Linked DNA regions of Xenopus tropicalis. The protein of the gene in region 1 interacts with the protein of each later gene in a pairwise test. Links are inferred from orthologs where the notes say so. Each region holds a gene or a part of one and is shown on either strand. Other genes may lie near its edges. The genes, in order: tubgcp4 and sdsl.

What was found.
Region 2: the proteins of tubgcp4 (region 1) and sdsl interact in a two-hybrid assay, tested with the Homo sapiens proteins (2 studies listed by BioGRID and IntAct). The two-hybrid records come from large-scale screens. The link is inferred for Xenopus tropicalis from reciprocal best matches to the Homo sapiens genes TUBGCP4 and SDSL.

What each region holds. Positions count from the first base shown.
Region 1 is NC_030679.2:107,033,813-107,050,332, forward strand, and holds part of tubgcp4 (gamma-tubulin complex component 4), read left to right. Parts: intron 1-20; exon of another isoform or gene 21-159; coding exon of another isoform or gene 160-180; intron 181-1,111; coding exon 1,112-1,240; intron 1,241-2,479; coding exon 2,480-2,602; intron 2,603-4,295; coding exon 4,296-4,349; intron 4,350-4,549; coding exon 4,550-4,606; intron 4,607-7,501; coding exon 7,502-7,581; intron 7,582-8,675; coding exon 8,676-8,874; intron 8,875-14,699; coding exon 14,700-14,865; intron 14,866-15,200; coding exon 15,201-15,325; intron 15,326-16,520. UniProt on the Homo sapiens protein: Component of the gamma-tubulin ring complex (gTuRC) which mediates microtubule nucleation.
Region 2 is NC_030677.2:146,171,109-146,187,628, reverse strand, and holds sdsl (serine dehydratase-like), read left to right. Parts: upstream 1-2,025; 5' UTR 2,026-2,090; intron 2,091-2,437; coding exon of another isoform or gene 2,438-2,455; coding exon 2,456-2,614; intron 2,615-6,873; coding exon 6,874-6,913; intron 6,914-7,082; coding exon 7,083-7,222; intron 7,223-9,575; coding exon 9,576-9,664; intron 9,665-12,264; coding exon 12,265-12,495; intron 12,496-12,998; coding exon 12,999-13,123; intron 13,124-14,234; coding exon 14,235-14,428; 3' UTR 14,429-14,678; downstream 14,679-16,520. UniProt on the Homo sapiens protein: Catalyzes the pyridoxal-phosphate-dependent dehydrative deamination of L-threonine and L-serine to ammonia and alpha-ketobutyrate and pyruvate, respectively. Also exhibits racemase activity towards L-glutamate and D-glutamate.

The DNA.
Region 1 (16,520 bases):
TCCCAGTCAGTCTGTGGGCATTTCTCTTCCTGCAGTGCCTCTGGGTTTTGGGCTGGGTAGTTACAGACTAGTAATACATGGGCTGAGGTACAGTTGGACATCTGATAAAGAACTGGGGCACTTCCATGGACACTATGCCCGGGGATATCAATCTTTATAATGGAGTGGGCCCCTCATGCGGTAATATTGATACTGATTTGTATATTCAGTATGTTTTTGAGTGCAGCACAGGTTAAGCATACAAGGGCCCATATATTAACTTGCAGCAAAGTGTATATTGCTAAATGGGGATGTCGGATTTTTTGCCCATGCTGCTACCTTTCACCTTTGCTTCTACTTCTGTTAGATTCAAACATTGCTCACTGGTGGCTTGGTTGGAATTGAATCCAAGACCTCAGATCCAAGTCTGCAATGCCTTAAGCTAAACTGATTATTTGGGATGTAGTCATTATGCCTATAAAGTCTATTTGTAATATGCATTGTACAGACAGATGCTGCTTCCAATAGCACAAGGGAACTCGACCCATTTTTTCAGCCCCTTCTGAATTTGCGGGTTCTTCACTGGATATAATTCCTTTCCCACAATGCCTTGCAAACATCTGTTAATCAGCTGGCTTCTGTAAAGGTGGCCATACATGTTGTGATCCGCTTGTTTGGAGAGGTTGCCAAATGAATGGATCTTCTTCCCACCTATGGTGGGCTATATAGGGTAAATTCCCAGGGCCAAACAGTCTAATTAAAATGGTGGGCAAAGGCGCCATTGGAGAAAGGACCATATCAACGAGATAATGCGGTCCTCAATCCAATGGAAAATCTAACCTGCCCGATCGAGATATGGACAATTTTACGCCAGATATTGTTCAGATAGGCCCCTCAGGGGTGCCCATACATGGTCAGATAAGCTGTCGAACCGATCTGAGGGGCCCGAATCAGCAGCTGCAATCTGCCCATGTATGGCCACCTTACAGTGTATCAAGTGTTACAACCAGCACTACAAAGGGCTGAAAATTGATAAAGTATATGTTTTGGGTAGTTGCCTAGAATGACTTATTTCATTAGGAAAAATGTCATATTCTCATTATTTTGTTTGAGTTTTGACTTATTGTTTCAGGTGGTGCAGGATGTACCATTTCTCCATCCCGGTGAAACCAACGTGCTGAACCGGCTGTGCAAGCTGGGGACAGATTATATTCGCTTCACAGAATTTATTGAACAGTACACAGGGCATGTGCAGCAACAGGTACAAGTGAAAATGAGCTACTATTTACAAGTGTTACTGTTGGAATCACTAAATGTCCATTTCATTTCGTACTCTTGGTGGAGGGATCTGTGGTCAGAAATTTCCTTAGTGATCCACCTGGTGTTCTCATGTAGCTTGTGAGCCTGCAAGCTATATTAACAATTAGCTGCACATTTCAACATGTTGCATTGAACCTTCTAGGATACCTGTTACTGTTTGTAATGATCTGAATGATCTGAGTCCAAAAAAGTAATGAAACAACATGTTAATATTCATAGGGATGGTATAATACAATTAGCATAACTGATTTAAATTGAATGTCCTTTTTAAAGAACCTACTAAAGGGTATTGGGAGTAAAGGAAAGAAACCATAATGTGATACGTTGCAGAAATCTGACCAGATAACTATCAGGCAGGTTTGAAAATCCTGTCTGGGAAAGATCACATTTGAACTCATCTGTCTGTACATGGCCAAGTTTGGTATCCAAAATCTCATGGTAATTGGGTTAAAATCAGACTTTCTGACAAACGCCTAATGTTCTTTCACAATATTCGTTTTGATTAATAGTTTATGGGGGGGGGGGGGGGGGGGTGCGTGCGCAACGAATGACAAATCCATATACACGAGTATAAGCCGAGGGTGACTTTTTTTAGCACATTTTTGGTGCTGAAAAACTCGGCTTATATGCGAGTATATACGGTAATGCTTTATTGGAGGCAAAACAATTCTATTGGGTTTATTAAATATTTACATTATTTTTAGCAGACTTAAGGTATGGGGATCCAAACTATGGAAAGATCCCTTATCCTGAAAACCCCAGGTCCCGAGCATTCTGGATAATAGGTCCCATAACTGTACAGTCTTATGGAATTATTACTCCAGGCCAAATGTGACTGACCACAGGTGGATTGAGCTATGAGCACATTCATAGAAAGGCTACGGACAAAGTTTCTCTCTAGGTACAGTAATTTGGGGCTAAAACCATTTGGCTGATTCCAGAGAGGTGCAAAGGCTGGGTGTTACAAGAGTGAAGGAGGAGGATGATATAAGGTCAGTTAGCATTGAAGTAGCTAAGCATATAAGGGAAGCCCAGCCCCCTCAGCTCTCCTTTGGGTTTGTGACGAAAAAGGTTTTTTGTTAATTCTGGCTGATAATTAATAATAATAATGGAAGGTTTGCAATGAACATTGATATATTTTTATTTAATTGTAAGATTTGTTTGTTTTCTTTTTTTTCAGGATCACCATCCCTCACAACAAGGACAGGTCGGCCTGCATGGCATTTACCTGCGAGCGTTTTGCAGAGGCCTTGATTCAATACTTCAACCTTACAGACAGGCCTTATTAGATCTGGAGCAGGAGGTATATAAGCATCCTTTTCCAAAGAAGTAGGGCAGCATTTTTGTTTTTGTATTGCAAATGTTGAAGACCACAGTAAGAGGCATCAGATCGATATGCCACCTTATCTGATCCAGTGTGATCAGCCTCTGATTAAGGAAAAAATATGTATAATAACTGTGCTCTATATTTTCAATCTGCATTAATCTGTTACATAGTAAGTCATAGAGATGGCGTGTTAACCAATTCGCCTGTGCTGAGTGTTACATAAAACTGGTAAGTGCAGCCGCACTGAGCCTTGGACTATATTCTAACAAGCCCTACTTACTCGTTGGCCTCAGTGCCTGAGCGGCATTCTACACAACACCAATTTACTACTGTCCCGGGGGCCCTTCTTGACATATGATATATTGTGTGGTTACACATGCCCTTAGATATAATCATATTGAAATCATTCATCTTTTTCTGGAAAGAAACAATTTAGTTGTGTGTCAATGAGAGCGGGTCAGGGTGCTTTATAAAAACTTATAGGAACTGCACTCCTTATGCTGGCGCAAATGGTGCCATAACTGATAGCACTCCATCATACTGACCACCAAGTAGTTGTCAGTACACACTGAGTTAGCACATAAATACCCACTACCAACAAGAAAAGAGACCCAGTTAAAAAGAGGGTATTCAGACATAGTCTTAATGGAAAATAATCAGTCCATATCACCTCAGCAGCATTACTCAATATAAGGTCACCCCATATTGAGTGATGCTGCTGAGGTGATTAGGACTGATCCATATCCTATTCTAGTAGCATGGGTTTTGTTTAATTATGTGCATGTTAATAATATTTTGTAAATATGTGATTTTATGTCACTTGCACTATATGCAGTCTATCCACCAGTTGGCCGTGAAATGGGCATATTTTCCATTAAGACAGGGATCACCAACCTTTTATAACCGTGAGCCACATTCAAATGGAAAAGGTTATGGAGAGCAACACGCATAAAAAATGTTCCTGGAGGTGCCAATGAGAGCTATAATGGACTATTTGATAGCCCCTGTGTTGACTGGAAGCCTACAGAAGGCTCTGTTTGGCAATTACACTGGTTTTTATGCAATTAAAGCTTGCCTCCTATCCAGAAATTCAAAAATAAGCACCTGCTTTGAGGCCCCTGGGAGCAATATCCAAGGGGTTGGGGAGCAACATGTTGCTCACGAACCACTGGTTGGGGATCACTGCATTAAGACTATGCCTGAGTGCACTCTTTTTAACTGGTTTATCATTCCTTTTATTGCCTCCTTTTTTAAAAAAAATAATTTATTAGAATTTTTTTGACAGACTTATTTATTTGTATATTTCACTTCATTATTGTGAGTGAGGATTCACTGGTGAACAACACTAATGGCTCATCCATAGAACCAGTAAATTGTAGGCAATGGCCAAAGTAAACTAGCTGTGTCACTTCTGCTTGTGAAAAAGGTTTATATGAAAAATGTCATGTTCCCATGAACCACAATTAACTTCTGGATCATTTGGAAACAAAGTCAGTGGCCTGGAAATAAAAATAAAAACAGCAAACAAACTCTACACTAAACATTCTGATTGACTTGTGGAATGTAGACACCAGTGAGTAATTTATCAGTATAGTGCAGCTGGGTAGGGCCAGTGTTAATATAAATGTACCCACAGATTAACATTTTATGTTACTTTACTTTTCTGCAGTTTCTGGCGGATCCACATCTTTCCATATCTCACATTAATTATTCCCTGGACCAGGTAAGTGTGTCAGTGCAATATATTGTTTTAGTCTTGGCTTATCTTACTAAACCTCTGGCACTTGGTACCTGCAAGTCTTATTTTTCATGAATAAGGTAACATTTGGTACAAATACATTTTCTGTCTTTCTTCAAAGAATCTACAGTATATCATACTGCTGCAATAATATTTTGATTTAAAGATCTTTTTTTCCTTTACAGTTTCACCTTCTGTTTCCATCAGTCATGGTAGTGGTGGAACAGATCAAGAGCCAAAAGGTAATGCATTACTTATGGTTCTCTTATGGTTATTTCTTGTGTTCAAATGTGTTAAATGGAGTAATTTCATACACAATAAACAGCTCTGTCAAAAACATTGTTTTAGCTTTTTAGCTAATGTAGTGCTGTAACATGTTTTGCGCTGTATATATATATATATATATATATATATATATATATTTAAGAAAAAAGTCCTAAAGTCTCTTTGCCTTGCAAGGTATTTGTGGGCACATAAACATGTTTGGTGGCAACAGACTGAGATCCTCAGGCTTCCTTCTCTTTAAAGGTCTCATAGCTTATCAAGCTAATTAGTCAAGTTGCAAGTTTCCTAAATGAGCATGATATTGTTCATTAGTTTCTGCTAGCTGCTCATTAGTCGGTAGACTGGGATTTATTTTATTGCACAGAAGGAGAAAATAAAACATACCCTATGAAGGTCTTATGGGGCATTGTAATATGACGTGACAAGTACTGCTTCTGGTCAAGAGAACTCTGAATTTGTTACACTCGTTGAGCAAAACTTTATTTAGCTGTTTATATTCATTTCTACAGTTTACTGGTTGTGTGCTTTGAGTATTTAAAGCATAATAAATGTTGGAAGTGTGGGTGGACAGAGAATTAGTCAGGACTTGGAGAATTGGAGACTTGAGTGATTGGTGCAGCTTGCGGGGGTGTTCTATAGGAAACAAAAGAAGACGTTTTTGAAGGCATCTCGGGAGCCTACCACCCTAGCTGTCAGAATTGTGTTGAATTATCTGTGTACTGTGTATATTTGTGTTCAAGCTGGAATTTTTTGATCCATGGCAATTTTCCTCTTGAATGACAACAGAGATAGTGCTGGTGAAATGATTGTCTATATGTTTTTTGTTAAACTCAGCTGAGGCAAGCTATTTGGAAAATTTCACTCATTTCTATACAGATATGCAGAGAAGGTAATTGCTATGCACCTTATAACCCGTGTTCCATTACATTGTTTCGTGAAAATAAACAAAAGAGATACTTTTATTTAAGGTATAGCTTCCCCTTAAAAAGACTACAGACTCTGCACTGTACAGCTATCTCATGGGCACCTTTAAACTTTGATTCCGCTTTCACATTATCTAACATTTCTCTGCCGTCTGACATCTCTTGATGTTACAAGAAAAGACAAGAACATTTTTATATGCCAAGTTCATTTAGAAAGAACCCCACAAGTTGAATGTCATGTCTTTTACTACTGATTTGAAAACAGAAGGTCAGTCTTATTCTCTGCAGTTTCCTGGGCAATTCATGAGGACCTACACAGCTCCATAGTAATGCTGCCTTGTTTTGCCGGAGGCCTGGAAGTGCAGTACCTTAGCTTAGCTTCGGTTAATGTTACACTATAAACACTCTTACTTCTCTGTTTATCATCTCGTTGTCACTTATTATCTCTAATAAAGTCTCAGTGGGCTTTGTAATTCTCTGATATGAAAACACACAACTTGTCATTTCATCTGCTGGTATAGAAAACCTTCTATGCTGACGGCGTTTGCTTTCATAGCAGCCACCTGTCACTGCGCACACAGGGCAGATTTGGGCCCAAATGTGCACACTTAAAGGGGTTGTTCACCTTAATATTAACTTGTACTATGATATAGATAGTGCTATTCTGATGCAATTTGCAGTTGGTCTTCATTTTTTATTTGTGGTTTTTTAATTATTTAGCTTCTTGTTCAACTCTCTGGTTTGAGATTTCAGTACCTATGTGGTTGTTAGGGTGTTAAATACCCTAGCAACCAGGCAGTAGTTTGAATGACAGATTGCAATATAAATAGGAAAGGACCTGAATAGAAAGATAAGGTGTAAAAAAATAACAATAAAATATTTTTTTGGCTGCTGGGTCAGTGACCCCCATTCGAAATCTATCTGAAGTAAAAGGCAAATACTTCTATACAAAAAATAAAAATAAAGACCTTTAGGTTAACATACTAAAAGTTAATGTAAAGGTGAACTACGCCTTTAAACGCTTTTGGACCATGTGTAACACGGTGACATGGATGTCAGTGACTGCCTGCTTAGCTGCTTCATATGGAGCATTTTCACGCTGGTGAAAAAAAAACTGCAATATATGTTGCTAGTAAAAAGACTTTTATAAGAATCTGTTCTAGGTTTTGTGGTTCTTGATCCACATTTCATCATTTAAATTTTCTGATGGTTTTTTTCTGCATAACTCGTTGCCCTTCTCCATTCTCATCATTATGGCCATGACTTTGTAGCCATTCTACCGTAACACATTCTAATACAGGTATGGGACCTGTTATCCAGAATGCTCCGGACATGGGGTTTTCAGGATAAGGGATCTTTCTGTAATATAGATAGCCATGTTTTACAAAAAACATTTAAACATTAAATAAACCCAATAGGATTGTTTTGCCTTAGAAAAGGATTAATTATATCCTAGTGGGGATCATGTACAAGCTACTGTTTTGTTATTACAGAGGAAAAAAAGGAAATAATGTTTTCACAATTAAAACTGATGCTATGGGAGATGGCCTTCCCTTAATTCACTTCAGAATGTACTTACACTGCTAATAAAAAACACTTGTGTTGGAACCATAACCCTTGTGTATCCTTCCCTTAATTCAGAAATTTCTGTATAACAGATAACAGATCCCATACCTGCACATTTTAATTTTTCATTTCCATATACATATATACACAGACATACATGTATAGATATTTGGAGTAACTCCACTCACAGCTGCTTTTGTGGCAACATGGCTCAAAAATTTACAGAGAGGATATTTCACGTCAGTACCTGTAAATAAGTATAGGAAAAGAGTCTTTTGAAATCAGGGGATACTTTTGTGTTGACAAGTAAATACTGGTAAAATGAGTTTACAAATAAGTGACATCACTGTGTTTTCTTCCCAGATTCATGGCTGCCAGATACTGGAGACTGTGTACAAGCACAGCTGTGGAGGACTGCCCCCTGTACGCAGCGCATTAGAAAAGTATGAAATCTTATATGTATATTTTCTTTCCATTATTCGGTTAGGTCCCCCTTTTACCCATCAGTGCTGGAATCAGTCTTGGCATGTATGTAAGGTTTAAGTAGAACTAAACCTTAAAAATTAATATAGTTAGAAATGCCATATTTTATATACTAAACTTATTGAATCAGCCTAAAGGTTCAACATCTCTGTAGTAGTAATGATCCAGTACTTGTTGACACAGGGGGTCACCGTACTAGAATCTGTTAGAAGTGTCAGTGACACTGCACATGTTCAGCTGTTGAAATGCTAAGCTTAGGGTCGTCTCAAATTATTAAGCAGAAAATTATGTGCGTGTCATAGATTGTGACATTTACATTATATGTATGCAGTATATTGTGAGTTAGTCCCTAAGCTCAGTAAGTGACAGCAGCACAGAGCATGTGCAGTGGATCACAGAAAAGACGATGGGGAGCTACTGGGGCATATACAGAGGCACAGATCTTCCCTGCTAAATGGCTGAGGTTGCCTTGGGCTAGCCTACTTTTTTAGTTAAGGTTTGGTTCTCCTTTAAAGAAACAATTTTTATATTGTATATTAACACTAATGAATGCTTGATGGCAGTCACAGTCACAAACCTTAAGGGGATATTGACAGTTTTTTTTGTAATTGTTTGAATGTCACCCCTAGAAACTAATTTTCTGGTAATTACACTTTTTTCAAACAACATGATTTGTGGTCGTCCTGTTGTTCCAACATTTAGTCCTGTCTCAGTAAGGAGATCTGGAATCTGGGTGGCTGCTTTGTGTAAATTGTAATATAATTCAATCTGCAGTTGGAGAAATGATGTTCTGTTTATAGTATCTGTAATGATAGTTAAGGTGACCTCAACATTGGCCATGCCACAACAATGCCCTATTAGGTATCAGATTGATTATCTATGGGGCAGGTTTAGAAATCTAGTTAAGGAGACCATATATGGGCAGATTTAAGCTGCTGATTTGGGTCCTTCAGACTGATTTAGCAGCTTATCTGCCTGTGTATGGGGACCCCTGACGGGCCTCCCCGACCGTTATCTGGATGAAAATACCTAGACTAACCATGTGCTTGCCTAGGATTCTTGCTGTGTGTCATGGAGTGATGTACAAGCAGCTTTCAGCTTGGATGCTTCATGGGCTTCTGCTGGACCAGTATGAAGAGTTCTTTGTTAGGCAAGGACCATCATCTAATTTAGCTGCATCATCTGAAGAAGATGATGATGATCTGGGCATTGGTGGTCTGACTGGAAAACAGCTGCGAGAACTGCAAGACTTGGTGAGACTTTACACAGTAAATACAGCTTAGCATGCAATTTTTAATGCTATTGGAAAAGTATCCTGTAGATTCCTGTAACTGTGTTGTACCTGTACTGAGATAATGACCATTCCCTTTAATGCATTTTTCTCATACGTCCTGGGGGACACAGGGACCATGGGGTTAAATCCCCTCCCATCAGGAGGCAGGACACTTCAAAACAAAGATCTTCCCCCCTATATAACCCCCCTTCCACCAACAGATACTCCAGTTTTTAATGTGTCCTCGCAAACTCAGGAGGTAGACAACACGGCCCCAGGGGGCCCTACATTATTTCAATCTTCAGCGACTGGAGAATAGATCCAGAAACGGGGTAGGACCTGAACCAGTGTACTGGGCTCAATGAGTCAACCCCCACCGCGGGACCTGTACGGTCTGGGGTATCACCGCAATACCAGACCGAACACTTGGTCAGGCAGACCAGTGGAGGTGAGCGCGAGCTACGCTCTAGTCTCCCTCATACCACACTGCCTGTGATGGCCAGCCCAGGGAACATAACCCTGAATGGGTGGTTGGTTCCCGGCGGCAGGGACTCACGCCACACGGGGAACACATACACGGCAGCGATACTGGGGCGCGGGGCGGAGTGCCGGTGACACCTCAGCGCTACCCTCGCTCCCCTCCCACACACTGCACAACTGTGTACCCGCCCGGTTACTCACCGGGGAACTCAGTAAGCGCGCGAAGGAGAGAGAACTTCCGGGTTGAACCCGCGAATACCCAGTGACGTCACTCCGTGACTTGGCGCCAACGCTCATGCTACGCCCTCAATTTCTCTCTTCGCGCCCTGCAGACGCACCACTCCAGTGGCGGCCATTTCTACCCTGCGCACCTCTTGAACAGCACTCGCTTCAGCAGCTAAGCTCTTTCCTCCTAAGTACTCCTTCCATCACCAGGTACCGGGAGGGGAAATAGCACAAGGGGAGGGACAGCAATAAGAACAATGGCTGAGGGAACGAGCGATTCACTCTTTACAAGGGGGGGGAAACAGAGCTCTAAGATCACCTTTTTCTCGTGTACAAAATGTAAAAATAAACTTAAAACAGGCCAAAAGGAGCCACTTTGCACAACATGCTCTGCAGCAACCACCGCAGACCCCCCAACACCACACACAAACCCTGTATCAGTGGCTGTGGTGGGAAATAGCCCAGAGGAGGCCCCTACTCCATCAGGCTCTGGGACTTCCGGAACCTCTGAGACACCAGCATGGGCAGTGTCCCTTTCAAATTCCCTTCAGGGAATACCAATGCTGGCCTCATCTCTAGATAAAATTCTAGAGAGATTGAGCTCCCCACCTGAAAACAGAAAGCCGGTAAAACGCAGGGCTACTACACCCTCAGGGCCTACCATTCCAATAGTCTCTCCTTCAGATTCAGATGATGATCCTCTTAGCGAAGGGGAATTATCCCCATCTGAATCTGAAGGAGAGGAATCATCGTGTCCTTCTGATCACTCCAGAAAGGTGGAGGACTTAATTTTGGCAGTACTAGAGGTACTAAAAATTGATGAATCAGCCCCTTCGTCTAAGAAACCAAAGGGCCTATTCCGTAGGGCAACAGAACATTCCATTTCCTTTCCGATACATGAGCAACTCCAGGCCATAGTCCAGGAGGAATGGAATGCTCCAGAGCACAAATTACAGATAACTAAGAAATTTGCTAAACTGTATCCATTTTAGGATAATAGAAAAATAGAGCACACCACCGCTGGTGGATGCTCCTGTGTCACGTCTGTCAAAGAATACTGCCTTACCAGTACCAGACGCGTCAGCATTTAAAGACGCAGCAGACAAGAAACTGGAAGGTTTTCTTAAAGCCATATTCACTTCAACAGGTGCAGCATTCAGGCCCATCCTGGCAACTGCCTGGGTTGGACGGGCCCTAGAGGCATGGTCTGACATCCTTTTAACGGGAAACAGAGATGAAATGCCTTTTGAAGACATGGAAATCATCATTTCACGGATTCAAGAGGCAAGTTCCTTTCTTTGTGACGCCTCTCTGGATATCCTAAAAGCAGTAGCTCGCTCGTCAGCCATATCTGTGGCAGCACGCCGAGTGTTATGGCTGCGTCTTTGGTCGGCGGATTTAAGCTCCAAGAAGTCCCTTACATCCCTACCATTTAAGGGTTCGCGTTTGTTTGGTGAGGAACTAGAGAAAATAATTTCACAAGCGACGGGAGGAAAAAGCACACTACTTCCACAACCTAAAACCAGAGGAAATCCAACCACAAATAAGAAACCTAGATATTTTCGTGGACAAGGATTTCGCCATTCCAAGACATCTTCACCACCACGACAGTCATCCTCTAGGGGACGATATCCCTACAAGAGTAAGAACAGCTGGCAGACCAGAAAGAACTCAGCCAAACCCTCTAACGACAAACAGTCATCAGCATGACTGGCCGAGATCAACCCAATCGGACCTCCCAGTAGGCGGCAAACTAAAACACTTCGCACACAGATGGCACGAACATCTAAACGACCCATGGGTAGCCAACACCATCAAGATAGGATACCAATTAGAATTCCACCACCCTCCCCCACCAAGATTTTTCATGTCCAGAGTACCGAAAGACCCTCAAAAGAGAACGGCCTTTCTTTCCATTGTGGAGGAACTGATTCAGTCAGATGTGATTGCTCCGGTGCCCCCGGATCAGAGATTCACAGGATTTTACTCAAACCTATTTGTGGTACCCAAAAAGAATGGATCATTTCGCCCGGTACTAGACCTCAAGCTTCTCAACAAATGGATAATTTACCGACGATTCAAAATGGAATCCGTACGTTCGGTCATTCGGGCCATGGAACCAGGGGAATTTCTCACATCTCTGGACATGAAGGACGCTTACCTTCATGTCCCAATTTTTCCAGCTCATCAGGCCTACCTTCGCTTTGCCTTTCAGAACAACCACTTTCAATTCAAAGTGTTGCCCTTCGGACTATCGTCAGCACCACGCATATTTACAAAAATAATGGCAGTAATGGCAGCTCACCTCCGAGTCCAAGGAGTTTGTATAACTCCATACTTAGACGACCTACTGTTCAAGGCGAGATCATCAAGTCAAGCAGCGACCGAACTAGAGCAATCGATACAAACGCTGCAACAATTCGGTTGGACGATAAACAGACACAAATCCTCATTAATACCGACCCAGAGGATGCCCTTTCTGGGATTCATCTTCGATACGAACCAAGGAAAGGTGTTTCTACCGGAGGACAAGATTCAGAAACTGATATCATTGGTCAGAAGACTCAAGGCGGAACGGAATCCATCCATCCGATTTTGTATGAAAGTGTTGGGAATGATGGTATCCTCTACAGAGGCAGTCAGATTTGCACAATTCCATCTCAGACACCTACAGAAGAACATTCTATCAGCATGGAAAACTCACAAGCGACTCTCCAAGAGAATCAAACTATCACACCAGACAATGAGTTCCCTGAATTGGTGGTTAGTGCAATCACACCTGTCTCAAGGACGGTCGTTTGTGGAACCAATGTGGCAGGTGATAACCACCGATGCAAGTCTCTCGGGGTGGGGAGCGACATTCAGAAATCAGACAGCGCAGGGTCTCTGGTTGGAAGCAGAAACCAAAATGCCGATAAACATACTGGAAATCAGAGCAATGTTCAATGCCCTACTGCATTGGGAGAAACAATTACTAGACCTAGACATTCGAATTCAGTCAGACAACGCCACAGCAGTGGCATATATCAATCGACAAGGGGGGACGAGAAGTCCCACAGCCTCAAGCGAAGTAAGAAAAATCCTGAACTGGGCGGAGAATCATGTGTATCAGATATCAGCGGTACACATACCAGGAGTAGCAAATTGGGAAGCAGATTTCCTAAGTCGCCACCAGTTAGATTCAACCGAGTGGGAACTAAACTCCGAAGTCTTCGAGTACATAGTGACCGTCTGGGGTCAACCAGAAATAGACCTCATGGCATCGCGCCACAACCGGAAGACAGAGAGATTCATGGCAAAGACAAGAGATCCATTAGCGACAGCAGTCGACGCTCTGACAGCAAAATGGGTAGCAACATTGGCATACGTATTTCCTCCCATAGCTATGCTGCCTCGTATACTCAAGAGAATAAAGCGGGAAAGAGGTACATTTATCGTAATAGCTCCCTGCTGGCCGAGAAGGTCATGGTTCTCGGACCTGAAGGAAATGTCAGTCGAACAACCGTTGAAACTACCCAGTCGGGTAGACCTTCTACATCAAGGTCCAATTGTGCACTCCAAACCAGAGATGTTTTGTTTGATGGCATGGCTGTTGAAAAGTCCATTTTAATTAGAAAAGGGTTCTCACCCGAAGTGGCTCAAACCATGATCAGAGCTAGGAAGAACGTTTCTTCTAAATCATACCACAGAATATGGAAGTTATTCATTAACTGGTGCTCATCCCGACAAATTGACTATGAGAAAGCGGACATTCCTGTAGTTCTACAATTTCTTCAGGAAGGCTTAGACAAAGGGCTGGGTCTGAGTTCCTTAAAAGTGCAAGTATCATCTTTATCGGTTCTGTTACAATCAAGATTAGCATTACAAGAAGATGTAAGGGTATTTCTACAAGGAGTGGCTCATGTAGTTCCTCCCATACGGTCTCCGGTTCCTCCTTGGGATCTGAATACGGTTTTGGTAGCATTGACCAATTCCCCTTTTGAACCGATTTCTATCATTGAAATGCAGTGGCTCACTTGGAAAACGGTTTTCCTAGTGGCGATATCATCGGCACGAAGGGTGTCGGAAATAGGAGCATTATCCTGTAATTCTCCTTATTTAATCTTTCATACGGAAAAAGCAATCTTAAGGACCAGACCTTCCTTTCTGCCCAAAGTAGTTTCCCCTTTTCACTTGAACGAGGAAATAGTAATTCCTTCCTTTTGTAGCACACCCAAGAATGCCAAGGAAGAGAAGTTACACAACATAGATGTGGTGCGTGCCCTACACACGTACGTGGAACGAACAGCCTCATTTAGAAAATCGGATGCATTATTCGTAATTCCGTCAGGCAGCCGAAAGGGATTCCCAGCTTCCAAAGCCACCATTGCCAGGTGGATCAGGGAGGCAATCCGTCGGGCATATATTTCCCTCCAGAAGCCTCCTCCATTTCGAATAAAGGCACACTCCACTAGGGCAATGGGTGCCTCATGGGCTTGTAGAAACATGGCATCTGCGGAGCAGTTGTGCAGAGCAGCAACTTGGGCTTCGGTTCACACTTTCACTAAGCATTACAGACTTGATACTTTTGCATCTGCAGAAGCGGCATTTGGTCGCAAAGTTTTGCAGTCAGTAGTACTGTAAGAGTTATATTAGTTATTCTGTTTTCTTTCCCACCCTATCAAGGGACGTCTTTGGTATGTCCCCATGGTCCCTGTGTCCCCCAGGACGTATGAGAAAAAGGGATTTCTTTACTTACCGTAAAATCCTTTTCTCTCTAGTCCTATGGGGGACACAGGGACCATGGGGTTAAATCCCCTCCCATCAGGAGGCAGGACACTTCAAAACAAAGATCTTCCCCCCTATATAACCCCCCTTCCACCAACAGATACTCCAGTTGTTTCAAAGAACCGAGCAAACTATTCCAACTGATAACTTAACTCGTAACATAACTGGCTGAGTAGAAGGAGCTACCTCCCATTGTTTTCTGGGAGGGAGGCCCTGTGTCCCCCATAGGACTAGAGAGAAAAGGATTTTACGGTAAGTAAAGAAATCCCTTTATATGTATTCTGCCTCCATAAGAAGCTGTACTTTACTATGTATGCTGTTTGCTTTTGGCAGCGTCTCATAGAGGAAGAGAACATGTTGGCCCCATCCCTCAAACAGTTTTCACTGAGGGCGGAAATGCTGCCATCCTATATTCCAGTGAGGGTTGCAGAGAAGATACTGTTTGTGGGTGAATCTGTTCAGATGTTTGAGAATCAAAATGCAAATATGTCTAGGACAGGTAAGAGAGACAATACGGAGCCTGGCTGTTTTTATTTCCTTAAATTGTGTTCAGCTGTCTTTTCTATAGGCCTAGGAAATAAAATCTCCCAGTTTGGCAAGCAAGATGTCCCTTTCTAGTTTGCAGCATAGAACCTATATAGCACATCGCACATATATATATGTAACTAGTCCTTGGATGAAAGTTGTAAAGGAGCCAGTTATGTGTTACGTAAGTCATTACAGGGCAAATGTACATGCTAGTGCTGGTAGTGTACAGATATAACATTTATGCAAGACTAAATATTTCCAGGTCGCTTGCTCATTTCTCTATTCATCCAAAGCTGTTCTCAACAGGTTCCATCTTAAAAAACCAGGAAGACACATTTGCAGCAGAGCTCCATCGGCTGAAGCAGCAGCCTCTCTTCAGTTTGGTGGATTTTGAATCTGTTCTTGACCGAATCAGAAGCACGGTAGCCGAGGTGAGCCTCTGCCAAATGTTAGGGTAACATCAGCACAGTAAATGTGTTCAGTAGCAGAATTACCCTGTAGAGATAGATCATTGCCATTGCCTGGAATTCAGGCCATCCTCTGGCTTGATGTACAGTAACTCTGTTAAACTGATGAAACACTTGTCTCCCTCATTTGCAGCCCAAGCATCCTTCATAGTTAGTTATTCTCTGCCCCCTGCCTTGTGAATGAGGGTTTGTATGAGTACTGTATCACTGGACCCCTTTGCAGCCTTTTTTTTTTTTTTGCTTTGTATAAGGAAGTTTCCCCACACAGAGAGGACCTAAACTACAATAGATTTAAGAGACTGGTGATTTATCATAGTAAATATTCACAATTATTTAAACATTTAATGTCCTGACTTATAAATAGGGAGTTACCTTCCGGTTATCTTAAGGTAAAACACTAAAATGTACTTTAAATGGGAGCTGCTAGGCAGTTAGTTCCTGAAGAAATGAGACCTAGTGCGTTTGTACCTGGATCTTATATTCCAAGGGCCACTGGGATAATGGGAGAGTGTTATATAATATGCTGGCACTGTATTAATGAAGAATATTACTATTAGTGTGACATGCAAGCTTAAAGTGAATGGCGGGGCGGTGCTGAGTCAGGCATTGGAGAGGAAATACAGGATAACTTTAGTGACAAGCTAAACTAAGAAATTTCATGTGTGTGACCTAGAAAGCAGATTATGGTATATTTAACAGACAAATTGTGTGTGGTTTATAAAATAGTGACCATTGATCATTTGCCAGAGACTCCATGATTTTGCCTCCAAACAGCTATATGATGTATTTTAAACAAGTTATATCTGCTTTTTGCTCATGAGCTTCAGTGAGTCGTGTGTCTCCTCAATAGAAGTACCAAACTTCTAAGGTAGAGTTACAGCGCCCCCATCTGTGATTATTTATATAGTCTAGGGATAGATGGAAACACATCTCCTCACTACTCCTTTCAGCTCAGAGCTCAATCTACAGACATCCTGAAGGTCCTTCTCAGACTCTCAGTGTCTGTTAGGAGGCAGTCATTGCCAAACCAATAAGAGCTCATACCCACAAGTGGATTTTTCCACATGTATCTTCTGCTGTGGCTAAGACGTGAAGTCAGTGGTGATACATATAATATAATAATTCTTAGTTCTTGTTGGGGGAAGGAGGTATTCCCTGT
Region 2 (16,520 bases), on another chromosome or scaffold:
GTAGGGTGTTTAAAAAATTAGAGCAAATTATTTCCATTAACAGTATGGCACGAGAGATCACCATACAGAGCCAGAGCTACTAATAGTTACTGTAGTGTGAAGCATGCCAGGAGGGCATCAGGCATACACATGAATCAGCTACTGGTCTCCACTACTTTGCAATATTTGAGAAGTAATTCCGTATGAAATGCTGTCCAAGACTGACAACCAGATACTTTAGTACACAGACTGCAAATGGACAGGGCAGCTGCTTTAATAAATGGGCCAAAGAGGCATTTGCCCAGGGCCCACTAGACTAGGACCATCTCCAAGAAATCGTAAATCCCTTATTTCAATCAGATGGAATATGTGTAAAATAAATATTTTTCAGAGCCCTGGGATCATCATAGCCGGAATGTAAGAATATCCCTAATGCAAAGTTCTTATTATCTTGATTTGTAAAATACAAATAGAGTGGAAAGTATTGGAGCATTAAAGGTGAGGTTCACTTTTAACCCTTTCACTGCCAGTTGATTTGGTCAGAACTTTTGTTGCCAGACAGCTTTTAAACATTTTTAAATCTTTCACTTTAGGGGCCGTTCCTTAGGGGGACTTTTAGTTTACCCAGGAAAACAATATATTGTTTTCAAAAACTCCCAGCAGTACACTACCAAATTTCCAAAGCACTGCTTCAGAAAGCTGCATAAAAAAGCTGCCAAAAATTACAGCAATCATAGGTTCACCCTAGAAAACGATACATTTTTGGAAAGAACAGATTCAGATGAATCCAGAATAGGTAAAACTGTCTGTCTACTCCAAACTACCAAGTTGCAATAGGTTTTTCTAAAAAAAAACTGAAATTTTTGAAAAATCACTTCAAAGCTTACACTTTGCAGCATCTTATCTCCCACATAACATTAGGTACCAAGATAAAACACCCTAAATATGAACGCCAGGGGTCCACTGAATAGTTTTATGCCCAATATGTATAGGTTTACCTAAGTATGTGGCTTTCAGGAGCCCCAAGGTGAAGATACCCCCATATGATCTACCATTTCTGTCATTTCTGCTCCTGCAAAATCAACACATTTATATCATTTTATGTGGGATAAAGCTATAAAGAAGTACTTTAACTCCAGAAAGCTTTATATTTTCGGAAAGTACACATTCCTTCAAATCCAAAATACATGTCTTTCTACTCTAAAGTACCAAGACAGCGAAACTGTAATCTATAAAAGCTGGAGTGGGCAGATGTCTAGCATAATAGCCAGAACACTACTTCCTGCTTTCAGCTCTCTAAGCTGTTAGACAGTGAGTGACTTTAGGAGGGGTCACATGGGACATAACTGTTCAGTTAGTTTGTGAGCATGCAGGTCAGATTCGCAAGCAAACTTACTGAATAGTTCATGTTCCATATGCCCCCTCTCAAGTCACTGATTGGTTACTGTGTGCTAACAGCTTAGAGAGCTGTAAAGGAGGAAGTAGTGTTCTGGCTATTTTGTTAGACATCTGCTCATTCAAGCCTTTCTAGATTACATTTTTGCCTAACTAACTATATTAGAAACATTTTTTATTTTATGCAATCCCCATTTACCCATTTTTATTTTTACACTGAACTGTTCCTTTAAAGTAGGTAAGTCATGTAGTCAAATGTTACAGTAATCCAAACTGAAAGAAAACAACATGCATGAGGGTATTATCAGTGCATACAGTAGATGGTGGTAATGGAATGGAGTAAATTATAAGTCTAGGTGACAGCTCTGGTGGTGGCTTGTGAGCAAAAAAAAGATAGTTTTATACAATTTATCGAAAAAACATCATAACTTAAGTTATTAAGTTAGTAACAGAATTATTTTAATGAACAAAGAAATGCAGTCCCCGTAATGCAGTGATAAACCCTTTTAAACTTGACCTATCAGCAGTAGAAAGCTTATAGCATTCCCTGAAACATTTCTCCTCCCCACAGGCACTCCCTCGGGACCTTGATCTGTTATTAGTAAAGTGGTTAAAGATTATCTGAGGCAAAGCGGTCAGTGTGGATGTCAGGCTGCATGCAGTCAAGGCCTAAGTACTGAGCTCTACAAAGGAGCAAGGTGCTCTGCTGGCATCAGGTTTGTACTGTGTTCTGTGTGACTGGGTGTTTCGGCCCCCTTTGCTGGAGGGCACATATTATTTATAGAGCACCCAATAATATAATTCTTGTTTTCATAAGTTTATTAGCTGAGTATGGGTATAGAGTATGTTATGAAGATAAGTAAACACATGAGCTAACATGTTTTGTTCTCCAGAACATCTCTTGCAAGGAAAAAAATATGGTGGCCTCAACTAGGAGTCATTATGGTATCTTATGTCTAAAGCAATCTGTACATGTTGTGGGGGCAGCGTCTTTAGCTCTACTGACATATCAGTCGAATGACTCTTGTCAAAGCTGCTTATACCCTATTCCGTATATGAACAGGTCATTCTTCTTCAAGAGATGGATTTCACAGAGCAAGCTCCTTTTCATATTGTCACCCCTCTGAAAGAGAGCCATGCTTTATCCAAATTGGCTGGGACCACAGTTCTCATGAAGCTGGAAAATGTTCAGCCCGCAGGGTCATTCAAGATACGTGGGATTGGACACTATTGTCAGAAGGTGAGTGGCTAGAATTAACAGCAACGACAGTGCTGCATTTCTGCTGAAATACATGACTTAAAGGTATTTGCCAGAGTATAGAGGTGTGCTTCTCCAAATACCAAAAGCTATGACTGAATGTTTGGCTGGGAAGCAGCCGGGGAAGTGAGTGCACCCTTGAAACGTGTAGGTGATGTGCTGAAGAATTTGCTTTCTTTAGAATTAACAGCTGCCATATCTGGCAGAACTGGCACAGAAATACCAAGGGGATATGTACTGTATAGGGAAGAGTTGGGGAGACTGAAATGAATACAAGAAAAAATATATACAAATTTACATTAATTGTATTAAATTATATTAATCCTAGTTTGGGCATGTCATTTTGGTTGCTAGGGTACCCCAGAACCTATATTGTAGTTTTACTGACAGCCTTGAGGGTTAATTAGATTACTAAAATCAGTGTTTTATTTAGTGGCCTTTGTTAGCCGTATTTCCCTTAAAGGACAAGGAAAGGCTAAGTCACTTGGGGGTGCCAAAATGTTAGGCACCCCCAAGTCACTTAAATCGCTTACCTTGTACCCCAGGCTGGTGCCCCTGTTAAGAGAGAACAGCACCAGCCTGGGGTAGCAGTGAGTGTTTCCTTCTTCCGCGTTGGCGCGCTCTGCATGTGCAGTAGAGTGAAAACCAGAACTTTAACAAGAAAGTCAACTTTTCACTCTACTGCGCATGCGCCGGCCCAGGGATTTCGCCACAGAAGAAAGAGGAAGGAGGAAGCGCTTCCTACAGGTACCCCGGGCTGGTGCTGTTTTCTCTTAACAGGGGCACCAGCCCAGGGTACAAGGTAAGCAATTAAAGTCTTTTACAAAATGCATTAGGTATTATAGCTCCTCCAACAGAATCCTGCATTGAAATCCATTTTTCACAAGATCAAACTGATTTATTTAATTTTGACATGTTTATGTCAAATGTCATGTTATATATTGATAATGTTATACAGTATATTGATAATGGGTTAGTGCAGAGGACCTCATGTTTCTTTCTATTTGTTTCTGTTTGGAATTTTGTGGGCACAGCCTCATCGCACCCCTGCTTTATGGTATAAAATTTAGTGGTGAGCACAACTTCTCGTTTCCCAGGTGCCCTCAGTCATGTGACTTGTGCTCTGATAAACTTCAGACTCTCTTTATGCTATACTGCATGTTGGAGTAATGTCATCTCCCCTTCCTGCCCCCACCTCCCGCAGCCAATCAGCAGAAATCAGTTATCAGCAGATAATAGCTCCCTGACACTTGCATTGCTAAAAATGCTCCCATGTCCCACATAGTGGCTAATTTGAAAGCAGTTGTGCAGCACTTTTTAAAAGCTCACGATCAGACAAAATGCACTGAGATGGCTGCCTACACACCAATATTACAACTAAACAAATACAATTTTTTGGTTCAAGAATAAAATTTGAAATGATAGAATTAATTATTTGCAATGTACACCGTGTAATTTAGTAATATAAATGACACCATATACATCATGGCAGAATCCCTTTAAGGCTTACTAAGTAATATTAGTTTGGCCAAGTTCTGAAACTTAGTGAAGAACCATTTCTTTGGATGTTTTAAATAAGCATTGTATTGCTGAGAAAGAGTTTTTACAATGATGTTTTGGCTATGGGATCATTTCATTTTATATACTGTAACATGTCTTGTTTTGTCTTGTATCTCTATTCCACCCATTGCAGTATGAACCAGTCTGGTAATGCCCTAGCACTTCCACTGTGTAGCCTTGTATGGTTATAGTGATGTTTAAAGCTGTTTGGCACATTGACTGTGTATTATACTATTTGCTTTTACAAAGACAGCAACATTGCACTGATTTCACTGATCACCCCAAGGGCCAAAAGGGTTGCTACCTTTTCTGGAAAATACTAACCGTCCTATACCTGTTATGCTTTCCTATTAACTAACATCGGCATCAATTAGCATATTTGCTGACTGAATGGTATCTCTATGATTTAATCAGTCAAGTCTGTTTTATTTGTAGAGTTAACAGTTGCTAAAGCTGGCCATACACGTGGCGATCTCACGATGTTTCGTACGACCGTCGGTCGCACGAAACATCGTCAGATCCGCCACACACCATTCAGGGCTGAATCGGCAGGTAAGGAGGTAGAAACAATAGGATTTCTACCTCCTTCTGCCGATTCAGCTCTGAAGGGAGAATTTTGGTCAGGCGCCTTCTATGGCGCCCGATCAAAATTTTCTAACCTGGCCGATCGGCGAGTCGACCGATATCAGCAGCTTCCTGTGATATCGGTCGGCTCGCTGACATGCCATACACGCACCGATTATCGTACGAAACGAGGTTTCGTACGATAATATCGGTGCGTGTATGGCCACCTTTAGTTACAATTCTGCTGGTAGCCCCATGTCTATGTGCTGCCTGACAAGTTTTAGCCATGCTTATTTTAGGCTACTGTCATTAACTGAAGGGTGACTAAATGAATAAAGATGTCCAGCCAATTTGATGCCCATAAACATTTGTATCTTTAGAAATGAATGCATGTTTTGTACCCAGGATCTAGCACAGCTTATATATAGCACTACTAGCAGACCCAGTAATAGTAATTTTGTAATATAAAAACTGGACAAATGATGCCGTTTTTTGGAAGGGACTTTACCACTTAGTAAATGAGTCCCCTGGAGCAAATGTTGCCCACTGTATTACATGCCCCATAATGTACTATTTATCTTATTCAGCTGAGAGATATGGATGTCTATCTATATACATTAAAGGAGAACTAAACCCAAAAAAACAAATGCTGTATTTTATATACTGAGCTTAATGCTCCACCCTAAAAGTTCAGCAGTATCTCTACAATACTACTACAAAAATAATCCTGGCTATCAAAGTCTGGTAAATTATCTCTTGTAAGGTCAACGATAGAAAAAGTTTATCAGAAGAAATTTCTGAACTTTCTAAAAATAGTGTCAGTACACAGACCGTGTATTATGCAAACAATAATTTGTGCTTACTTTGAATTTTCCTTTTCGTAATTTCTGTTTCAGCTAAGGCTATAAAGGTGCACAAAATAGGAGAAACATGCTGTAGACATTTAACTTCATCAATGACAGAGTTGCAGGTTTACCCTTAGCTCAGGCAGGGTAGAGTTGAAATTTGGCTGACCATTACGGGTTTGGGTGTGGGCCATACTGGGGAATTACACATTTCTCTCCTATGTTTCCGAAGTTTCCTAATCCTATGATGCTTTGATCTTCTGTCCAATGGCCCTTATTCCCGTTGTTGTAATTTTATAGTTTAGCCCTATGGTGCCCACGTTAGGTAGGCATATCGGGAGAGAATTCACTCATTTGGCAGCTAAAATCTGCCTGTGTATGGCCACCTTAATTTTAATCATACCAGATGTGTGAGCTTCATTATAGTTAAAGTTTTTTGGGTACCACAAAGATGGGTGCAAAAAGGCAGTCTTTGAAACCAACCATACTTACAGTAAAATTTTTCTTGTATTGAACTGAAGTTTGTGCAATGGCATAAGAAGTTCTTAGATACAGAGAGCAAGAGAGAGATGTGGAGAGTGCAGAATGAATGATGCTGTAGAAAAAGAAGAGCAAAGCTCTGACTAACATATTGTTAGGACTTGGGGTTATTTAAAAAAAAAAAGGCACTAAGGGGCCGATTTATCAAAATTTGAGTTTGTGTTTTTTTAACGATTTAAGAAAAACTACAAGGAAAAACCACTGAGCTTAAATAGAAATAAATGGGAACTGCTAACAGCTTTTTATATATTTATTTTTGCTAGTTTATCAATGTGATTCTACCCAAAAACAAAATGGGCGCAGGAATATCCTGGCATGTTTTATTCTTAAATAAGCTAGTGTTCAAGAAGAAAAGTTTTGCTGCAGTGAATTTTTTTTTTTTTTTTATAAACTCAAATTTTGATAAATCTGCCCCTAAGTTTGCCCAGGAGTTGTAACAAGGCTGGCAATCTGTGGATTCTGGCAAATGCCAGAGGGGCTGCTGTAAGATGCCATAGACAGTGACTATTTGTTGGGCCTGTGGGGGGGCTGTTTGAGCCTCTGTGTGCTTGAAATGCCAAGACCTATTTTAAATCCAAGCAACCCATAGCAACCAATCAGCATGTAGCACTGGTCACCTGTTTAAAAAACATCTTAGCTATGGGCAAACAGTGCCTTTTATGACCTATTTGTACCATAACTTTGCCTTGTTGAAAGCTGTGGCAAACTAAACTTTTTCTCTCTGTTTTTTAGCTTGCGAAGAAAGGCTGCACGAGGTTTGTCTGTTCCTCAGGTACTGATGAAGCTACTTTATTTGGGTGTCTGTTGATCTTAATCTGTTTGTATCTATGAGTCTTTCTTTTGTGCTCCACATACACTTCCAGCATTTACTTTGCTTCCTTGCTTTGGTGCTTTTGCTGCCCTACCTTATACTGTACATTCTCTCTCTCATTCCCACACAGGGGGTAATGCTGGGCTTGCAGCAGCTTATGCTTGCAGAAGATTGGCCCTGCCAGCCACCATTGTTGTTCCACAGACCACTGGAGCAGATATTGTACAGAAGCTGCAGGATCTGGGAGCTGACGTTGTGGTGACTGGAAAGGTAAAAAAAAAAAATAATCTCATCATAATAATGCTTCTGCTGGTTTTGACTTACATTCAGGTACCCCTAAACAAGGGCCCCTCATCACTATCCTTTTATGCATTCATGTAGTCATTCTTTCTTCAAGGGTTTAAAAAGATGCACGCAGATCCTGCTTAAAACTTTACTTACTGTATTTATATTTGGTATTACTAAGGGTCCCCTCTGGTCGAAGGGCTACAGTACAGACTTGACATGTCTTTAGCAAAACAATACTTTCTCCACTCTGTTAAGTATGGTACATCCATGAATACTCTCCAGAAGCATGACTTGTAGTGGGTTGTACTGTATCTGAATAGTAGTTAGTAACTAGGGGAGGGAAGATAATTTGCTGGCATGATTTTGGGGACAATTCTTCTATGTCTTCTGGCTCCATGCCTGTAAGAGTGTGCCTCTTCAAGCCATTGAATAGGAACTGAAAAAAGCCAAAAAAATGTCAATAAATAAATTATTGTCTTAATAAATCACATCTAACCTTTTAACCAGTATTCTATATTCAGGTAGATACAAAAAAAAGGGAAGGAACTATCAATCACTGGGTGCCAGATACTACAGTATATTTTATCAACAGCCCCAACAAAACCATTTGGCAGCATCTGACAAATGAGAAAAAAACACATGTATGTGCTCCACAATCTTTTACTTAGTCACCCTTTGGATCAGCCCATAAACCTATCCATCAGGTTGTGGCAATTAGGTCTCTGTGTGTGTGGTCATGTTAAACTATTACCTATCTATCCTACTGAATAATTGGTCACATACTTATGTAACACATTCTGAGATCGGTTTTATAAAATGGTAAAAAAACTTTTGTTTTCATCAAGATAAATTCTAAAGATCTGTACAAGTAAATCAGATGTGGGAATAAATTTCAGAGTATTTACTGGATAATTCTTTTTGCATCCTATAATGATACAAATGGCCCTTTTATTACCTTCACATTCATCCCACTCTCCAGGCTACTTATACCAGTGGATTATTATATCTTGCTTTAACTAGACAGATGATGTGACGAATGCTATATTTTCATCCTTTTATAAATATGTACTGGTGTCTAATGTTTTTGTACAGCTGTGATAGCTGACATGGAAATGGTCCTGAAAACATCTTTTCATGGTGGGAGGAATGTTTTTGCAAATATTAGGCAACTAGTGGGTTAAACAAGAGAAAAAATCTTCTTGAATACTGGGGGACCAAGGGGTACAAAGGAGCCAGTACACAGAGCTTATTTACTATTGGTACAGATACAAGTGTAGAAAAGATTGCAAGATTGACCCCTTTTGGGCCCATATAGAGAACACTTTTGTCAATCCATGGCAGGTGTAATCTCTGGTCTGAGCCTGTCCATTTGCTAGTGGTCCTTAGAATAATGGACACAAAGTTACAGTTGCAAAGTACAAAATATGGTGCTTTGCACTTGTCTTTTGCACTTTGCATTTACCCCTCAGTTTATGTGTATGAAGCAGACCATCAGGCTCTAAAAAGATTTCAATGTTGGGTAAGTTTTAGTTACACAAATGATTACAAAAATGCCTTATTGATATAGCAGCTCTGGGAGCCAGCTATTAACATATAACACACAGATTTAAATATAGACTACAACAAAACATTTATTGTGTCAAGTGTAATTACAGACATTAAGTAAAACATTTTATCAAAACCTCAGAGTATAAACAGTTTGGTGAATTTTAATACATGTCATTTAGCAAAACATTAGCGTAGAAAGTGACTCATAAAATGTATCAAAACAGACCTCAAAGAGGCTGCAATTAAGGTGAAATGATTCGTGGAGATAATACTTAGCTGATAGGAGCAGCTTAGTGCTTTGTGTCTCAAACAAGTGCAATACCAATATACCAAGATACATCTGCCTCCTACTATCTCACAAAATGGGTAATCATTTAACCCCAATGTGCCTGTGATCTTCTCTTGTTTTCAGTACTCTGGTCACTGGTTGCACTGTTCCTATTATTCTACTGAAATACAGATCCACACCTCCAAAAGCCTTCAGCCCACCAACTGAGGATTCTTAAAGCTATTGCAGAGTGGCACATGGTGTATACTCACATTAAATGGCACAAAACCAATTGATATTCCAGAAAGAAGCAATATATACATACACTCAAACATATTATATATATATTTAGATTTATATATACAGCAGAACCCCAATTTTATGTTTCCCAGGCATCAAAACAGTATAAATTCCATATTTATAGAGGATTTCCAGCTACTACAAGACCTTGCTCTACCACAAGCCATTCTTCTAGAAACTTTGTGCCATCACTAACTTTCTCTCCTCTGCCAACTGCAGGTCTGGGACGATGCTGATGCACATGCTCACCAGCTGACTGAAACTCCTGGCAGTGTGTATATCTCTCCGTTTAACCATCCTCTCGTCTGGTGAGCATATATATAGAGAAAATAGTATTAGTGTTACTTTTGCTAGGTACATTCATATCTGGGACTGCAGGGACTGGCACAACAAATAAAAGGTTATTGCAGCTATTTCCCCCATACTCTAGGTCCTATTTTAGATAGACAAATAGAATTGGTGCAAGCAGGATCAAACACTTTCAAACAAAGAGTAAGGAACGAGTTCTGTGTTCACCTTTATTAAAATTAGACACTATGGGCCTGATTCACTAAAGGGCGATAAAATGTGCGCTATTTTTATTGTGCGCTAAAATTTTTACCGCGTCTTAATTTTGGCGATTTTTCGCACGATTCACTATAAGCATACTTGCGCTTTTTTACGCGCGATATTGCATGCGTTATTTAACTCGCGAAGACTATTTCAATGCGGTATTTGCTGGTACATGTGCTAAATTACGCCCGCGAATAGTCGCCGCATATGAATGGTAGCTTAGAAATAGTGTATAAAAATTGTCGCCGCATATAAATGGTGTATATAAATATTAGCCACATATAAATGGTAGCATATAAATGGTATCATATAAATAGTAGATGCTTATAAATAGTATATAATAAAGAAAAGAAAAAAGATCGCTCTAAGGGAAACCCTAAAGCGAAACAAAATTTCTCAGAAACAATATAAATAAGTAATAAACAAATAAATGAAAAAAATAATAAACTAACAAACTATAAGTACCACGTGGTTAGATGAGGCCCGGGTGTTTAAACCCCGAGCCTGCCGCTCAAGTTTTAGAGTCTATCTCTTGTGTAGTTTAGAGTCTGAGAAACAGCATGCTCACCAAGATCCGGCAGTGGTCCGAAGTGTGCTCGATGTCCTTTCTTCCGCTTATAAATAGTAGCCACTAGTGATGAGCAAATGTGTTCTGGTTTCTTTAGTGAAAAATTAGCAAATCTTTCGAAAGATCCACGAAACGGCAAAAATGTTGTGCGGGCAAAAAAATTGTTGCTGTGACTACATGCGTTTTGCCATTGGCGGATTGTTTTGCGAAACGCATGAAAAAATCCGCCGCGAAAAAATTCAACGCACGTCCAAAAATTCGCTGCGAATCCATGCCTGGCGAAGCATTTCATCACTTGTAGCCAAATATAAATAGTCGCGCAAATGAACGCACGCCATGTTAGCCATACACGCCAATACTTGCAGAAAATTACTGTATTAAAAATGAACATTTCGCTGCAAACTGGCGGCTGCGTCACTCTAGGGGAAACACATACTTGAATAAATAACACTGTAAGTCCATATTTTATTGCAAAAAATAATTTACTGTACTTTTGTATAATTTTTCGCCTGCCTGTAGTAGGTGTTAATTTTCGCATAGCCGAATGCGATATTTAGCGCGCAAAAGTTATAGTGAATCATGCGATCGTATTCTTTTCAGCGCAGAAATTAACGCATGCGGTAAAACTAGTGCGAGAAATAACCCATGCGAAAATGGCGATTTTTCGCACGCGATAATACTATGGTGAATCGCGCGCAAATTATTTTGCGTTTTTTAACGCAAAAAAGCGTGCGATCATTTTTATCGCCCTTTTTTGGTTTACCAAGGCTGCTCATGTTTACCACAGTCATTATTTAGGCCTCAGCCATTTGAAATTTACTTACTAGAATAAAAATTATTGAGCATTACCAGCATATGGAAATATTCCTGTATGTTGCATGTACAGAAAAGCTGTAACACTACTGGAACACCATTATTTGTTTAGAAAGCTTTTTTTGCGTAACATAATAAAAGGTGGACATTTGCTGCAAGTCTCATCACATGTAACAACAACAGGTAGCATTTACTGGTCAACAAAACATTTTATTGGTTGCTATGGGTTACTGCATCTGGGTAGAAATTAATGCCTTGGCTAACATATTGGGTGTCATACTTACATTTTATTGCACAAGAAGGGAGAATTGTGCATTAGGCTCTGTGAAGAAGTAAATGCTTCCTGCATTTCCGGTGGAGCAAGCAGTCCACTTAAGATATGTAAGAGAGCATCCAATATGAGCCAGCCATTACACTTTAAGAAATACTGACTGATACAATACCACAAAGTAATGAACACTGGCCATTTATATACACACAAAGGTGTGAGTGATTTAAAGTCAAACTCTACTCAGAGTTTAGCCAGTAGTTCCCTCTACTGGCTCCATCCCCTCTCCTCAACTGCAGCACTAAAACATGGCAGAATGGTGTTTAGGAAGCAGGTAGAAAGGTGGCCAATCACTCAGACTGATTTAGTTTGGTTTTCTATGTGTGGATAAATTATCCCTTAAAGCAGTGATCCCCAACCTGTGGCTCATGAGCAACATGTTGCTCACCAACCCCTTGGATGTTGCTCCCAGTGGCCTCAAAGCAGGTGCTTATTTTTGAATTTCTGGCTTGGAGGCAAGATTTAGTTGCAAAAAAATACAGGTGTACTGCCAAACAGGCAATGAGACTTATTTTCCAGGTAAGACAAGAGGTTTCAGCTTGAAAACTCATAACAGCACTGTTGCAGTAGTTAATAACTGGTTATTAACTGGTAATTCTGGGAAATTCTTCACTTCTTCACTGATTGACTGATTTATTTATTTTCAGGGAAGGCCATGCCAGCCTTGTGTGTGAACTAAAGGCTTCTTTGGGTTCTCAGAAGCCAGGTGCACTTGTGGTTTCTGTAGGGGGTGGCGGGCTACTTGCGGGGCTGGCTGAAGGGATGAAGAAGGTGGGCTGGTCTGATATTCCCATAATTGCAATGGAGACTAAAGGTGCCCACTGTTTGAATGCAGCGCTTGAAGCAGGCAAACCCATCAGCCTTCCAGACATTACCAGGTTAGAAGTCATTGTCTACCATACCATGCAAATATATTCCCCCTTGTAAAATATCTCTGAATTACACATTAGATATACCTGTATGTAATATGTCAATATGTAACAATAAATAACAAACAGCATCGGCTTATAGGCACTCAAAGCATCCACAAGGGTCACAAAAAGTAAAAATAAAAAACGTCTTCATTTAAAGCTCCATTAAAATGAACGTCTCCCAAGACGCCCTTATGCCCAGAGGACACAAAACACGTAGGGACCATGACTAAGAGCCTAGAGGACAGGAAATGCACAGAGCATCTTGGGAGATATTAATTTTAATGCAGCATCCATTCCTGATTATTTCTCATGCCCATGAAGAACACTGGGTCACTTAACACATCACAAGAAGATTGTTTGGCACATTACCCAAACTATAATGTCATTCTTTTCTTACTGATATCCTGTAATGCAACAACCTACTAATGTATAAATGTGTGTGTCTGTCTCTTGCCTGTCTCTTTTAGTGTTGCCAAGTGTCTTGGCGCAAAGACAGTATGTGACAGAGCCTATGAGTGTACAAGGGAGCACAAAGTTATCTCCATTACTGTTGATGACAGAGAAGCCATTCGAGCTGTGGAAATGTTTTTGGGTGTGTATTAAATGCTCTCCCTCCATGTATTCCTCTTGCCTTCTTTCCCTTAGTCTTTTTTCATGCAAGTCCTTCTAGGTATTTATTCCCACCACTGATCTCCACCAGTCACAGTTCCTCAAGAGCTGGAGAATAGGGATAATTGGACTGCTTAGCTTGGCACAGTTTTGTGGCAACATTTGCAGTTTCATAAAAAAAAAGATGTCAGTTTTATCCACCCCTTGCCTTCTACATCAGCCAATTGAGTCAAAGCCTTCCCCAGCCCTCCCCCTTTCTATCAAAGGTGCTGTACAGATTCCGTGAAAGCAATGATCATGGTATTGGCAACATGGGAGCCTTTTTATTCTACAATATAGTTGCAGCATAGTGGAAAGGAACTTCTCTAACAAAGCAGAAAAAATGTATATGCTATTGCAGAGCTAAAGATGCCTTAAAGGAGTGGTTCACTATTAAAGGAACTGTAACACCAAAAAATGAAAGTGTATAAAAGTAACTAAAATATAATGTACTGCTGCCCTGCACTGGTAAAAGTTGTGTGTTTACTTCAGAAAGTCTACTATAATTTATATAAATAAGCTGCTATGTAGCCATGGAGGCAGCCATTCAAAGGAGAAAAGGCACAGGCACATAGCAGATAACAGATAAAACACTATTGTATTCTACAGAACTTATCTGTTATCTGCTATGTAACCTGTGCCTTTTCTCCTTTTTTCCAGCTTGAATGGCTGCCCCCATGGCTACACAGCAGCTTATTATATAAATTATAGTAGTGTTACTGTAGCAAACACACCAGTTTTACCAGTGCAGGGCAACAGTGCATTTTATTTTTATTACTTTAAAGCTCTTTCATTTTTTGGTGTTACTGTTCCTTTAAGTTAGCATTTAAGTTATAGATTGTCCTGTTCCTAGCAACTTTGCAATTGGTCTCATTATTTAATTTTTACAACTCCAATGACCTGTGGCAAACCTACAACAACCTGCCTTTTTCCCATTTAAAAATATTACTGTAAGTTCATTCCTCCGTTCCCAATACCCCACCCTTAGTTTATGTCTCCCCTTGTTTCCAGTGTCTGATTTCCATCCCCTCACTTTATGTTCTCACTCTCCCCAGATGATGAGCTAATGTTTGTGGAACCTGCATGTGGAGCTGCCCTTGCTGCTGTCTATTCAGGACATATCCAACGCCTGCAGCAGGAGGGAAGCTTGAAGACACCCCTTGACCCCATAGTGATGGTAGTGTGTGGCGGCAGTGGGATCAGCATTTCTCAGCTTCAACACTTTAAATCCCAACTGAATATAAACTGACAACTCAAATTATCAAAATCAAATTATTCCTTTCTTGTCTTTGCATTTATTAATAGTAGCTTAACATTAGAGAACCTGCCAGAGATGGATTGAGTCAAATAGGGTAGTACATTGGAGGCCCATTCTTCTGCAACTGTTCTTTCTTTTAGAAATATGTAGGATTTTGCCATTGACATACCATATATGTTGGGATTAACAAACACCTTATTTAAATAAATTAGGCAACTAGAAAGGATCAGACTTTATAAAACATTTGCGTAAAGAATATGTGCCGTCTTTGCTTGGTGAATTGCTGTTAAGCCACAAGGGGGAGCCAGAATACCTGAGGTTTTGCAGCATCCTTACAATGATAGCAAACTTAGATTTAATTGTGTTCGATCTTTGTCTCAATATTAACTTTATTTCACACACCCGTATGTATCCCTGTTTTCTTTGGACATCTGTGTCCCCTGGTCTTTTTTTCCTGAATCCTCTGTTCAGTATGGGCTCAAACCTTTGTCCCTTCAGCCTCTTTGCTTGCCCTTTCCTCCCTCTCTCCTTCCTATCTCTGATAAATATCCTGATTCCATAAGCCCTCCTTTAAAATCTCACTGGGCTCAGACCCCCATAAATCATAACTCTCCAGCCAATATCTTATGTAAAAAGGTTCCTCAAGGCTGGGAAATCCTATTACCAGAAGCACCATTAATTATACCAAGTCAGTTCTCCCTCTGGCTGTAATATGTTATCTGCAGTCCTTGCAACTGAGACCAGGGCCTATCCCACTACAAAGACCAGAAGGGATGTAAAACATGTATTGAAAAATCAATAGAACAACATTATGGCCTACCATGCAGGAGAAGAAAACCAAGCCTGACAGTTTCTGTGCACTAACTCCCATAGATGTCTGCAGGAGGCTGCATAAAGCAACGCTTAATATCTTTAAAAGGATTATTTACATATAGATTATGCACTTAAAGAAAGCTTAAAAAATGCATAATTAACAATATAGGTAAACATTTTGTTATAGCTCCTCTCTATAAGAAGGATGGGTCACATAAAGTCCTCTGAATGCAGAATAGGTCTGAACAGAAGAAAAGGCCATTTAGCTACCACCTTCAGGATCTATGGGTAACATTAGGGTGGTGAAGGCTTTGTTTCTTTGGAGTCATGGGAACATGAAATCCCCCAAATACTATGTTTTTGCATGTTAGCGTTGTTCTCCATCTTTATTAATGTTTAAATGTGGTTTACGGGTAAGTAAAAGTTTGGCAACGTCAGGTTTTTAGCTTTCAGAAATCAGAGGTGCCCCCAATATGCTTATGTTTTGGAGCAGAGAGTGAATTATTTTGGAAATACAGTATATCCAAACTTAGCTTCATAACAGGAGCCCATTCAAAGCAGGCTTATTCATTGATAAAAGTAGTCATAAATTACCCCCTGGTAAAATATGAGAATAATAGAAGTCACCTTGGTGTTCCAAGACCTGTATAAAAGCACTCGGCCTTCAGCTTTGTACCTTTATATGGTCATGGAACTCCTTTGTGTCTTATAATATCTTTATATTTTACAATAGGGGGTACATTAGTAGCTATATATTTGTCATGCCAACAAGAGACATACGCAGTATATTAGAAACTCCATAAATACAATGTATAAAATATATAATCTAATATTTCAGAATTTTATATAGTTTCTAGGTATTTAAATTCAGGCTAATGCAGTGTTCCACATCAAAGAGGATAAGCAAATACTGTATTTAGAAAACTTACTAGAATGTTAGCTAGCCTGTAAAACAACTCACTGTTACCTGGGCCTGACACATACCCACAACTTCTTGATAGAGAATTCTCAGGTATGAGATATGAAGGGAACCCTGTGCATTAGAGATCTGCCTCTATGTCTCTTCCCACAGCTTCCATTTCTCTGCATATTCTATGCATATTCTCTCCTCCAAGAACAAGTTCTGTGCCTCTCCACACCCCTCTCTCCTTTCTCTCTAGCGGTAGTATATTTAAGAAGCAATTTCTCTGGAAATCATTTTTTCAGTAATGTTGCCTACTAGAAAATAACTTTCTCATTCTGTGTCATCCTCTTGATTATCACAAATCGC